Linked DNA regions of Mus musculus: all the other regions are reported to be linked to region 4. The links are microRNA targets in miRTarBase. Many come from high-throughput screens and were not tested one by one. Region 4 holds a microRNA gene; each other region holds the end of a gene's coding sequence.
The links. The annotated mature microRNA mmu-miR-1896 reads CUCUCUGAUGGUGGGUGAGGAG and lies in region 4 at 1,673-1,694, shown strand. An mRNA with a match to its seed (bases 2 to 7 or 8) in the 3' UTR can be bound and repressed. Matches are read on the target gene's strand: a 7mer-m8 pairs with bases 2 to 8, a 7mer-A1 pairs with bases 2 to 7 and ends in A, and an 8mer does both.

Region 1: the mRNA of Kif1c is a reported target of mmu-miR-1896. Seed matches in the 3' UTR shown: 7mer-A1 at 1,613-1,619 and 7mer-m8 at 2,653-2,659.
Region 2: the mRNA of Dzip1l is a reported target of mmu-miR-1896. Seed matches in the 3' UTR shown: 7mer-m8 at 1,519-1,525.
Region 3: the mRNA of Rp2 is a reported target of mmu-miR-1896. Seed matches in the 3' UTR shown: 7mer-A1 at 1,479-1,485.

What each region holds. Positions count from the first base shown.
Region 1 is chr11:70,728,412-70,731,487 of GRCm38, forward strand. It overlaps Kif1c (kinesin family member 1C), which reads left to right. Exons shown (of 23, transcript NM_153103.2): 23 at 1-3,076. The coding sequence ends at 468. Among named protein-coding and RNA genes, the nearest start is that of Mir6925, 24 kb to the left of the region's middle.
Region 2 is chr9:99,667,590-99,670,665 of GRCm38, forward strand. Dzip1l (DAZ interacting protein 1-like) reads left to right here. Exons shown (of 16, transcript NM_028258.4): 16 at 50-2,486. The coding sequence ends at 214. Among named protein-coding and RNA genes, the nearest start is that of Dzip1l, 40 kb to the left of the region's middle.
Region 3 is chrX:20,397,223-20,400,298 of GRCm38, forward strand. It overlaps Rp2 (retinitis pigmentosa 2 homolog), which reads left to right. Exons shown (of 5, transcript NM_133669.5): 4 at 1-84; 5 at 430-3,076. The coding sequence ends at 513. Among named protein-coding and RNA genes, the nearest start is that of Jade3, 27 kb to the right of the region's middle.
Region 4 is chr13:21,443,537-21,446,722 of GRCm38, forward strand. Mir1896 (microRNA 1896) reads left to right here and starts at 1,624; the gene lies at 1,624-1,704. It overlaps Zscan26 (zinc finger and SCAN domain containing 26), which reads right to left. Exons shown (of 6, transcript NM_001347491.1): 6 at 1-2,293. The coding sequence ends at 1,395. It overlaps 4930470G03Rik (RIKEN cDNA 4930470G03 gene), which reads left to right. Exons shown (of 4, transcript NR_151504.1): 3 at 535-657; 4 at 1,386-3,186.

The DNA.
Region 1 (3,076 bases), not on the chromosome of region 4:
CTGCGGCTGCAGGGACTGCAGGGCGCTGGGGGCCGGGGTGGGGGACTGCGCAGGCCTCCAGCCCGCTTTGTGCCCCCGCATGATTGCAAGCTGCGCTTCCCCTTCAAAAGCAACCCTCAGCACAGGGAGTCCTGGCCAGGAATGGGGAGTGGAGAGGCCCCAGCTCCTCAGCCCCCTGAAGAGGTCACTGTCCCCCCAGCACCCCCTAACCGTAGGCCTCCAAGTCCCCGAAGACCCCACCGTTCTCGCAGGAATTCCCTAGATGGAGGGAGCCGATCTCGGGGAGGGGGTTCTACACAGCCAGAACCCCAGCACTTACGGCCCCAAAAGCACAACGGTTATCCCCAACAGCCCCAGCCCAGCCCAGCCCAGCGGCCAGGGCCCCGCTACCCACCATACACTACCCCTCCGCGAATGCGACGGCAGCGCTCAGCCCCTGACCTCAAAGAGAGTGGGGCAGCTGTGTGAGTCCCACATGATGGGCAGACAGGGCCTAGTGGGGCCCTTGTTAGGAGGAAGGTGCCCACTGCTTCCCCAAGAAGCCCTGGGGCAAGGAGGCCAGAAAGCAGAGAGCAAGAGAGAGGGAAGGTCCGAGTAGGTGGTAGAAGATGCCAGAGAGTGTGCTGGAGGCTGAGGGAAGGAAGAGGGCGCGGAGTTGCCAGGAGCAAACCAAAGTCAAGGAGGGTCCGTAGGGAGTTGTCTTGGGGCTACCCGTTGCAGGGGGGAGTCCCACAAACGCTGCTATGGGTGGGTGGGTGGGCTGGGGTCTGCATAGCCAGTGTTTGACTTTCTTTTTGAGTGGGTGCAACGGGGAGAGAACCGAGAGTGAGGTGGGTTCTCCTCCCCAGCTCTTGTCTGTCCGTCTATCCGTCTGTCTGTGGTGGATTTCTGTTTCCAGGGAGGTGTGGTGGGATCCTAAGTCATTCCCTTCCCCTTCCAGGCCTCCTGCTATATTTAGGGGACCTGTCTGGTTTGGCTGGGGTCCCACAAAAATGTGGGACCTCTTAATAAAGGATAGCAAACAGCTTGTGGTTGGTGGGTTTTGGTAGCGGTTAAGGTTGTGCAAGTAAAGTATCGTTTTACTAAGCGCGTCATCCCACGTCATTTCTGCATGTGCGTGACCACCTCATCAGCGCTCCACGCAGGCAATGCTGCCATCCTATTTTCTTAAGTTGGAAACCTCCTGTTCTTCTCTCCGGGGTACACAGCCTGTTCTTTCATTTCTGTTTGCTCTGGGTCTCTGCCCAGGTCCTGTACCCTCAGTGTCCTTGACAAAGGAGGGAGGGCTGTGAGGGGCAGTGGGGTCTGTCAGTCTGTCCGTGCCTAGGTGAAGGATTTGGGGTTCTGCCTCACTGACTCACCTCACTTGTTTGGAAGGTGTCTGCTCGGGGAGTGTTGATCGGGCTTCCTGCACCACTTGTGTATTCTCATGTGTCACCCGAGTCACTTGCCCTTCAGCGGGCCACAGTCAACCTCCTGAGCAGCATTTTAAGACTTGCTTTCGAAGCCAGGCATTGTGGTGCACATTTTGAATCCCCACAGGAATAGGCAGATCTCTGAGTTGGAGGCCAGCCTGATCTACAGAGTGAGTTCCAGTGTAGCCAGGGCTACACAGAGAAACCCTGTCTCGAAAAAACAAAAAAGAAAATCACTTTCTAGCTAGGCAGGTATGTGTTGCCCTTCTTTGAATGAAGCATTGGGATGCTGAGACAAGAAAATTGACACAGGTTCAAGACCAACCTAAACTACACAAGACCTGGTTTTAAATGATCACACTTCCCACAACCCAAAATGGTTAAAACTTTTAAAAATAACTTAGATGATGAATGTGAGTGTGGGTTTGTGTGTATGAGTACCATGCCAGTGGAGGACAGAACAGTCTCATCTACATGGTGCGATGCTGGTATCCAACTCTGGTTCTCTTCAAGAAGAGAATGTACCTTTAATCACTGAACTGTCTGCTCACCCTAGAGTTTAAAAAAAAAAAATCAATAATAAAAATTCAGAAAATTCGCTGCCTTTGTCTTTAACTCTAGTTTGAGTAGCACGCTTAGGGATGCCACGTGAGAAGCTTGCAGGTTCACCTGTATCAAGCATAGCCCTGAGCTTGCTGAGTCCCTGAGTAACTGTGCTTTTATCTTGTTACTTAAACTGGGCTGCTACTCTGCAGGGTCCTGAAGCCAGTCAGAGTTGTGCAAGCAGACAGATTGACCCAGATCCTCCGAACTGACCCAGGGCTCTGAGCAGGGCTAGCGTGCCGTTTGCAGTTGGTTTCTTCTTCCCTCTGCTACTGGCTACCTTGATTTTGACACTTTTGATTGCTGGGTTTCCAGAAGCCTGTTGACTGTGACTCGGGACCTGGAGTGTAATGGCTAGTTTGGTAGCAGTGTTTACTTGAGCGGGTTTATGATGTGGTTGGGGAGAATAAGTGTAAGCAAGAAAATGATAGAGTCCAAAGGTCTCTGCAGTCAGGGTGAGCTGTGTGGTGCAACGTAGGAGAGTCCAGATGGGGGGTGGCGGGGAATGCCAGTCTCAGCTACCACTGGGTGACCTTTCTCTAAGGACTGTATCATGTAAATAGGTACTGCCTTTAAAAAATTGAATTCAGTCTTCCACTTCTGTCTTTAACAATGCGAATAGACGGGATTTTATTCAGAGATTTGCCCATGAGTGTCATGTACACGTGCCAGCCTGTGCTCTGCATCCCGTTTCATCCTTAACCCTGCTCCCATTTCAGATGGGGAGACAGGTTTGATTGGAATGAGTTGCCTAAGTGTGTAGTTCTTCGGTGGTGAAGTTAGGGTTCTAACCCAGGCTAACCTGGACTTCATCCAGCCCTCCAGGACAGGGGTATTGTTCTCTCCAGGGGCCACACTGCCCTGTCCCTTGGATCCTTCCAAGTGTATCATAAGCCTGCCCCTAGCTTCTGGTCTCTCCTGCTTTGTGCTATGAACGAGTGAGTGAGAGCCGCTATTTCAGGAGCCTGCTCTAAAATCAGGGGATGTTGCCTGAGCAGTTCTCCGGCTTTCTGGCCCTCTCAGTTTTGGCACTGCTACAATGTCTCCCTTGGTTTCCC
Region 2 (3,076 bases), not on the chromosome of region 4:
TTCCTGCACTTATCAATGTCATTTTTCTTCTCCTCTTCTACCTCTGCAGCTTTCAGAAGATGAGAGTGACGTGGAGATCTCGTCTTTGGAAGATCTCTCCCAAGACCTGGGCCAGAAAGGAAAGCCAAAGCCTTTGTCCCACTCAAAGCTCCCAGAAAAGTTTGATGTCAGCCCTTGGAGCTCGGGGTCACGACCCAGGATTCCTGGCTGGTGATTCTCTTATGTTTGCCAGAGGGCTTAGCCTTGTTTCTTGGCTGGTCTCACCCAAATGGAAGAGGCCGTCAGGCCTCCCGCTCTCACTAGCAGCCAAGAAATCTTTCCCTTGAAGAGAAGCAGGGTAGGAGACAGACAGAACCTCTATCCACCCCCCGACCGCTACCCCAAAAGGCTGGCTCCTGGTGCTGGGTCTTGTGTAAATGTGAGAGGGATTGTAACAGGACTTCCTAGTGTTTCTTCCATGATCCCCATGTCCAGCCCAGACTGAAAGTAGTTACTCTTTCTAAGTTTTTGTAATCTGCAGGTCAACGTGGAGTTGGGTTCTGAGTCAGTTACCAGTTAGGTAGTCTATGGTGGACTCTCTAGCTTTTCACTACTGAATTGGGGTGCAGACAGAGGTAAGAGGTACAACGTGCTTGCTACCAGGGCCAGGCATAGTAATCGAGTGCTAGCCTGCTACCAGGGCCAGGCATAGTAATCGAGTGCTAGCCTGCTACCAGGGCCAGGCATAGTAATCGAGTACTAGGCATTAGAGTGTTGGGATGGCATGGTTGAGGCTGGCTGCCCTACTTTCATTTCTGTTGCTGTGATAAACACTCCGACCAAAAGCACCTTAGAGGAAGAAAGGCTTTGTTAGTCTATGACTGCAAGGAGATGAAGGCTGGACCATGAAGGTAGACCTGCTTGCTGTTCCACACAGCACTACCTCTGACCAAGTAATTCACTTCACAGCCAAAGAAACATGTTAGGAACCCTAGAGGATACTGCTTGCTAACTGCAGCTGTGTGCTAGCTCTTTTTATACAGTTCAGGACCTCCTGCCTAGGGATGGTACTGCCCACAGTAGGCTGGGTTCTCCTACATCCGTGAACAATCTAGACAATCCCTCACAGACATTGCCCTCAAAGCACTTCCTCTGAGGAGGCTCTCCTCTTGGACAGTTCTCAGTTGTGACAAATGGATATTTAAAACTAACCAGAACACCATTCCACCCAGTCCAGGATGACCCTGGAGAAAGCCCCAGAGTTGTGTTGTGTGGTGGAGCTTGGTCATGGGCAATAAAAAGAGCAATCTGGATGAAGCCTCTTGTCCCCAATAGAACCATAAATTTAATTTTTGAGATTGTTTCTGAATGAGATTTTTTTATATATATTGACTGTATTTTTGGGCAGAGAGGGGTTGGGTTTTAAAAATATTTTTATTTATTATTATTTTTTATTTTTTTATTTTTTTTGAGACAGGGTTTCCCTGTGTGGCCCTGGCTGTTCTGGAACTCTCTCTACAGCCTAGGCTGCTCTTGAACTCAGAGATCTGCCTGCCTCTGCCTCCTGAGTGCTGAGATTAAAGATGTCCATGGTGGCACGTAGCTTACATTGTATTTTTTTTTTTTAGTGTGAAAACATTTATTTATTATACTGAACATTTAAATATAATGATGTATACACCTCTTTATTATGTCGTTCTTTGTTATTTTTTTCAAGCTTTGTGGCGACTGAGGGTGGTGAAGAGGGAGTGAAGCAGCTTCCACCTCAGTTGTACCAGCTTAGGGCCTTTGGGATGCAGTGATCGAGGTGTGGTAAGACAGCCAGTTTTACTGAGGTGCTTTACCTGGGCAAGGTAAAGGTGGCTGAAATGGGGTCTGACAGCGGAAGATTGCAGAGTGGAAAAATGGAAAGGCATGTTCTAGTCAGTGCTCTATTGCTGTGAACAGACACCATGATTGTGGCCAGTCTTATAAAGGCAAACATTTAAGTAGAGCTGGCTTACAGTTTCAGAGGTTCAGTCCATTGCCATCATGGAGGGGAGCATGGGCACACAGGCAGACATGGTTCAGGCAGCAGGAAGAGAGAGATACTGGTCCTGGCTTGGGCTCTGAAACTTCAAAGCCCACCCCCAGTGACACACTTCCTCTAACAAGGCCACACCTCCACCAACAAGGCCACACTCCATAATCCTTTCAAATAGTGCCACTCCCTGGTGACCAAGCATTCAAATCTGTGTGCCTGTAGGGGCCATGCTTATTCAAACTACCACAAGGCAGAAACAGGGAGAACCCAGACAGCAATGCAGGGCTCTCACAGGAGAGCTACAGAGTCAGGACTGCCTACTGTAGTGTCCCCAAACCTTTGTTACTGCACTGTGCTTTATCATTGGCTGGGGGATCCTGGGGTCGCATGAGACCTCAGCTGTGAACTCTGTCAGCCAATTATATTCCTTGCATTTGAATAGAGACTTTAATATCCTAAGAGAAAAATAGTCATCTTAAACGCTCGTGTTTGTCACAAATTATTTCTAACTCCTGTGGAAAATTTCAGATTTGTACAAGGGAAGGGAACGGTGTGGTGAGACCCTGTCCTCATCGCTGGGCTCCAGCCATTGGCAACTCAATTGCGAGCATTGCTTCACCTATTGCCAGCCATCACTCCATTCAGGCTTCTCCTGGCCTCTCAGTGGTCCCGAAAACTTGGGCTAGGTGCTGATGTTCTTATAGGAGGAGCACAGAAGGAGTGATGGAAGACACGCCCTGCATCGGAGAGAGTGAAGGGATGTGGTTGAGTAGAGGGAGGGCTGAGGCCATATTGATGTAAAGGAAACGGTTTGGTGAGGTTAGAGCAGAGGTCTCTTCATGAACACCAGACACGATTGGGCAGGTCATTGTCAGGGACCCCAAAGGCTCCAAGGCTTGCAGGGGGCCAATCCAAAGGAAGTAAAGAAGGGAATTCAGCACCAATGTTTTAGGTGCTAAGTCAAAACTTCTAGAGTCTGACTTCATGGTTTATTCGTATACATTTAAGCACAGTAAAACTTAAGAAAAAGGTTTTCACATGACAGTTATCACAACAAAGCTTTTGGCAGAGCTG
Region 3 (3,076 bases), not on the chromosome of region 4:
CCTGTGATTGCCTTGGAATTTAATGGAGATGACGCTGTACAAGAATGTCACCTTATTGTAAATGGGATGTTCAACGGGACAAAGGTATAAGATCTTACTGACTATATCTCAATCCAGCTTTCCATTTTATCTCCTTTCCCTTATAATCAAACAGTACTTGTATTTATGGTATATCCCTTAACATCACCATCACAACCATCTGTAACTCCAGCTCCAGAGGATCCAACACCCTCTTTTAACCTCTGAGGAAACTGGGCATGTGTGTGGTATACATACTACATACATTCAGGCAAAACATTCATACACATACAAAATAACTCTAAAAACTTAAAAAGAAAACCCAAGCCTGTGACTTTGTTCTGAGAAGAGGTAGCCTTTGACAGTTAAGGGCTACAGAACTAATTTTTGTTTATTTTGTATTTGGAATAGATGTTTGTATCAGAAAAGAAGGAGACCGCATCTGGAGATGTTGATAGCTTCTATAACTTTGCTGAGATCCAGATGGGGATATGAAGCGGATTGTGGTATTAAGCCCCTTCCATCCTTTATATACAGACAGTTTGATAATATCCTTACATATGTTAGTCATTTAGCAATTAGTAATTTTTACTAATGCTATAATTGTTAAAAGCTATTTTTAAATAACTCTTTGAATACCATATTATTTACTTGAGTATCTAAAATAATTCATTTAAATTGAGTAGTTTTAATCATAAACTATTTAACTTGCTTCAGTAAGCTTGCAGTTTTATTTCTTTTCATACAATAGTCTTATTAGGAAATAATCATGATTTTATTCCTAATTAAAAGTTCTTTCATATCTCTGGTAATTTAAACTTTCCAACTTACCTTAGTGCTCTATGATAATTCATTTAAGAATATATTTTGTTTCTTATTTTCTCTTTTAATTTAGAGGCATTTGTTACTAGGTGAAATTAAATAAACCTATGCACTTTAAAAAAATACATACATAGCCAGTTAAATAATCATTTCCTTCTTGCATTATATGACTAATGAGATTTTGTACATGGAGTTGACATACTATTTTGTAAATTGGGAGATTTTTTTAAAATGGGTATTTGAAAGCTGAATGTGGTCATGGCATATGTAGTCCCAGGCTACTTGGGATGCCTAAGTGGAAGAATCACTTGAGTTCAGGAGTTCAAGAACAGCTTTGGCAAGTAAGAAAAGGCTAAGATAACCAGCTTTGCAAATACTTCTAACTGATCCTGGCATTGCTGGTTTAAGGACTACTTCCAAGTAGTACAGCTGATTTCTAAGCACAACTGCCAGATGATTCTCCTGTTTTCTAATAAGAAAAAGTTAGATACAACATAAAACTATAGAACACCAATGACCAAGCAGGGCGTGGTGGCACACGCCTTTAATGCCAGCACTGGGGAGGCAGAGGCAGGCTGATTTCTGAGTTTGAGGCCAGCCTGGTCTACAGAGTGAGTTCCAGGACAGCCAGGGCTATACAGAGAAACCCTGTCTCGAAAAACAAAACAAAACAAAAGAACACCAATGAGCAACAGATTTGACAGAGGTGATCAGTGTCTGTGACTAGCTATTGTGACTAGCAAGAGACCTAGAGCAAATCTTATAAGTAAGGAATCTTTTAAGTAAGGAACACTTAGGTATGATGATAATCTAGACAGGTTATTCAAAATCTCCATCCATTTTTTTTTTTTGCTCATGTCAACTAGTGTTAAAGTATGATAAAAGTTTTGGTTACTTGAAATCATTATTTCTCAATTCTATTTGATAATAGTAACTTCCAGGAGGAGGAATGGGAATTGTTCAGAAATACACATTGATGGATCCAGTCTAAAGGTGCACAGATTCAGTTTTCAAGGGAAACTGAAATAGGGTGTATTGTTATCTAAACTAATCAGTTCTGAAAGTGCTGATAGGGCGATTTTATCATATTTGGCAGGGAGCAAGAACAGCTTTCATAGGCTCATTTATAGGACTCAAAATGGAAACTTTTATTTTTATAAAACTGAGATTGAAAATGGCCACTTGTAAAAATTCCTTCCATGGTTGTTACCAAAAGTGTATTTTCCTGTTTAAAGTGGTTTTGGAAACTTTCAGGCCAACTTATAACTATCATGTTGAATTGTAAATGTGTAGAAATAATGCTTTTTTATTTTGAATTAATAATATTGAGTACCTACACTGTGCCTAGCCTACCATCAGCATTTCAACATTTCTTTTATTATAAGAGCATCATGTTCTACAGAGTCAATATGATCTCATAAGGTGCAAATAAAAACTGCTGGCAGGGCAGGTATAATAATTTCTATCATAGTTTACAAATGGTCTTTGCAAATAGTGATCAGAGGCATTAACGTTTCCCTGAGCTAAGCTAAATTAAATGCATTCTTTTCTGCCTTGATTATATTACTAATTTTCTTTACCCACATTTGAAATAATCTCAATACTTGCTATTTCAAAACTAAAATGCAATGTTATAGGGGGTATACATTGAGTTTTTAATCGTATCAATAATGGTGTGTAAAAACTCAAGAATATTATATAAAGGAGACATTAATTTAAGATTTTCCCACCAAATTTAGTATGTTAACCAAAACCTAAAACTTTATATCCATTTAGATGGGAACTTTTTACAAGTACTTTTATGTTGTTTCTGCAAGTCTAGACTTCAATAGTAATCATGATATACTAACTATATTTTATTTCTGAATAGTTTTTTAAATTCATGAAAAATTAATAGCCATGAAAACTGATTTTATTGTCATATTTGTTTAAGCATCTTATTAGTTTACTTCTCTTGCATTAATAGTACTGCTATATTTTGGGTCTGTATATTTATATGTGGCATTTATAAAATTATCTAGTGTTTTAAAAATACTTTGAAATAAATATTAAAATTAAAATGGTTCAATGCTACTTTTTTGAAGAGTACTCTATATTTACTCATACTTGTACCAAAATTTGATAAAATTTTTATTTTCTTTTGGGTGTTTTGTTATACAACTTTTAATTTTAAAAACAAAATAAAGTGGTCTAATCTCTGTTTTATACTAATGAGAAATGAACTGTTAAACTGCGT
Region 4 (3,186 bases):
TCCGAGCTGATTTGATTTGCATGGTCAAAATAATATCAAAACAAGTAGCATTTAAATTTGCATCATTGGTATCAAAGGGGGAAAACCCCATTTCCCCCCATGGGACATTCATGAAAAAAGGTGTCCTTCAAGCAGTCACTGTACTGGCACTGTTGCTGCCCAGTAAGGAGGTCGCTGCTTAGAATACTTCAACACAGTTCACTCAAATGACTCAAAGTCTCTTGCATAGTTTAGGTAAAACTTTGATTTATAATTTGAAACACTGTGATACTGTGGTTAAAATGGGCAGGAAATGTAAAATGACATGAGCTAATCCTAAGGGTAGGTTCTATAGTTAAACAGCAAAAGCTTTCAGAAATGCATTCATTGATGGTACAAAGGTAAAGTGGATATGAAGCCAGTGTTTGTGTGAACCTAACAGGGAAAATGTTCAGTTAACCTACGTTAGACCCTTGAGGATGTGTATTTCTAAGCATTATTAGATTTATTTTGGGCTTAAAAATATTTTACCAGTTGTGTGTGTGTGTCCACCAGTTTCTGTGGACCACTGTGTACAGAAGCCTGAGAAGGCTAGCAGATCCCCAGAACTGGAACTGTGAGACGCTGTGCTATGGAGGTGCTAGGAACTGAAAATGGATGGGTCCTCTGCAAGAGCAGGTATGTTAACTGCTAACTCTAGCTCCTTAGGATTTGTCTTTTCACATGTATGATGTTTGCAGGTATGGCTCTACATACGTATGGACACATGTGCACTTAGATTATCATCAGGAGTCTTCCTCAAGAACTCCACCGACTGCTCTCCAAACTCCCTCCCCTGAGTCCAAAGTTTGCTGATACAGCTAGTCTGGCTAGCCAGCTTGCTAGAAAGATCCCATTTTTGCCACCTGAGGGGTGGGACCACAGGCCACAGGCTGGCCACATACTCATTTGACTTTACATGGGTGCTGGGGATCCAAAACAGTCCTTCCACTTGCATAGCAACTTGGTTAAACCACTGAGCATATCCCCAACCCTCATTAATTTTATGTTTTAGGAGCCTGTTGCTACAGTACTTACAAAAATATCAGCTTGATCTTGTCCTGTATAAATCTATAGGCACTTGACTTACTGATTTCAAACACTTCATTCACACATAAAGCTAATACTTAAGAGATACATAATCAAGTACTTATCACACTGAAAGCTCTGAGAAGCTCTGTAGTGAATATTTGTTTAACTCTGATTCTGCTATTCTGGTAAATTATTATAGTCTAATTATGACTTTAAGTAAAGCCAAGAGAGGGACACAACGGAGGCAAATGGCTTCCAAGAATCCTGAAGCCGTCGTGAGTTCTTTCAAAAGGCGCTGTTTGCTTATCAATGTAACATTTCCATGTTTCAAACAGAGAACCTCATCAAGCCAGTTTGCTTTTATGGTGATGTCTCTGATGCTGAAAGAGACCAGACTTCTGCCTGAAGGCTTCATTGCATTCACTGCACTTGTAGGGTTTTTCTTCATTGTGGATTCTAACATGCTGATCTAAGTGTGAATTTAGGCGGAAAGCTTTCTGACACACATTACATTTGAAAGGTTTTTCTCCAGTGTGAATCCTATGATGTCGAATAAGGTCGGAGGTCAAGCTGAAGGCTTTCCCACACTCATTACAGTGATGTCTTTTGGAACGACCATGGACTCTCTGATGGTGGGTGAGGAGGAGGGCCCGACTAAAGGTTTTCCCACACTCCTTGCATTCTCGGGGCTCATCCTGACTGTGAATTTTTTGGTGTCGATTAAGATGAGAGCTTCGCCTGAAGTTCTTTCCACAATGGATACACAGATAGGGTTTTTCTCCAGTATGGATCCTGAGATGCTCCAAAAGACCTGCATTCTGGCTAAAGACTTTTCCACACTCTTTGCACTGGTAAGGCTTCTCCCCAAGATGGATTTTCTGATGTCTGATGAGGTGTGAACTTCTCTGAAAGACTTTCCCACACTCTTGGCAGGGATGACCTTTGTCTTTAGAGATTTCCTGATGGTCAGCAGCAACAGAACTCTGAGATCCTACAGATTCCCAGGACATTTCTCCTGTATGTGCCCTGTCATGTTCAATCAGGCCTGAGTTCTGAACAAGTCTCTCCTTAGTTTCCAAGCATTGGCTGTTAGTTTTTTCCTTGGGCATGGCTGGATTCTTTTTCAAGCTCAGGTCCTCACACTGGGCCTCAATGGGTTCAGTCATGGTACAAGATGATTCCATTCTTCCACAAGAGTCTGTCCCTGCAATGAGATTCCCATTCTCACTCCTTGTCTCTTTACCTGAAATAGTAAATATATATATCACTAATTATTTTATTTTTGGTGTTCAGGGAAAGGAATCTGCAAATAGCAGGAAATACTTAAATAAAGCCATGTGTATAAATGTAAAAACATGTTATGTGTGTTTTATTTGCATGTATGCATGTACACAACATGCATGCAGTGCCAAGGAAACCGTAAGAGGCTGTCCAGTTCCCGGAAACTGGAGTTACAGAATGTTGTGAGCTGCAATGTAGTTGACAGGAACTGAAACCAGATCCTCTGTAAAAGTTTTCTTAAGAGATGAGATCGCTTCAATCCTCACAAAGTAAAAAAACAACAACAAAATTTTGCTCATGATTATTTTATATATATATAAAGAGTGATTTACAAGAAACTGTGGTTTTGTTTGTTTTTTTTGAGGTAAGTTTTCACTATGCAGAATAACATGGCCTAACCTAATCCTCTCCTCTCAGGTCCCACAGTTACAGCACCACCACGTCCAGCCTGACATCTGGGAAAGTGTTAACCAGATTGGCTTTGGGGAAGGGCAGGGGTTGTGGTGGGAGGTGATTTATTTTAAATGTTCTATATTTTATTATGTGACATATGTTACACACACAGAAGCTACTAAGCATGACTGCATATTCTTGATCATGATTTGTCACCTGGGAAACAAAAAAGCACCATAAATCAGGTCACCCGAGGACCATCAAGTTAAGCAGGGAAGGTACTTTGACAAATGAAGATGAGTTGACATGGTGCCAATTTTATCACTGAGTAGTATGTAATCTTGGAAAAAGTGTTTACGTTCTTAACAATAAATCAACAGTACCGGGAGCATAAGACCTTGAGAATAATGCATTCACAAAAACATCATGTTGAAATATGATTTGTTCCCCTCAGAGGGGATC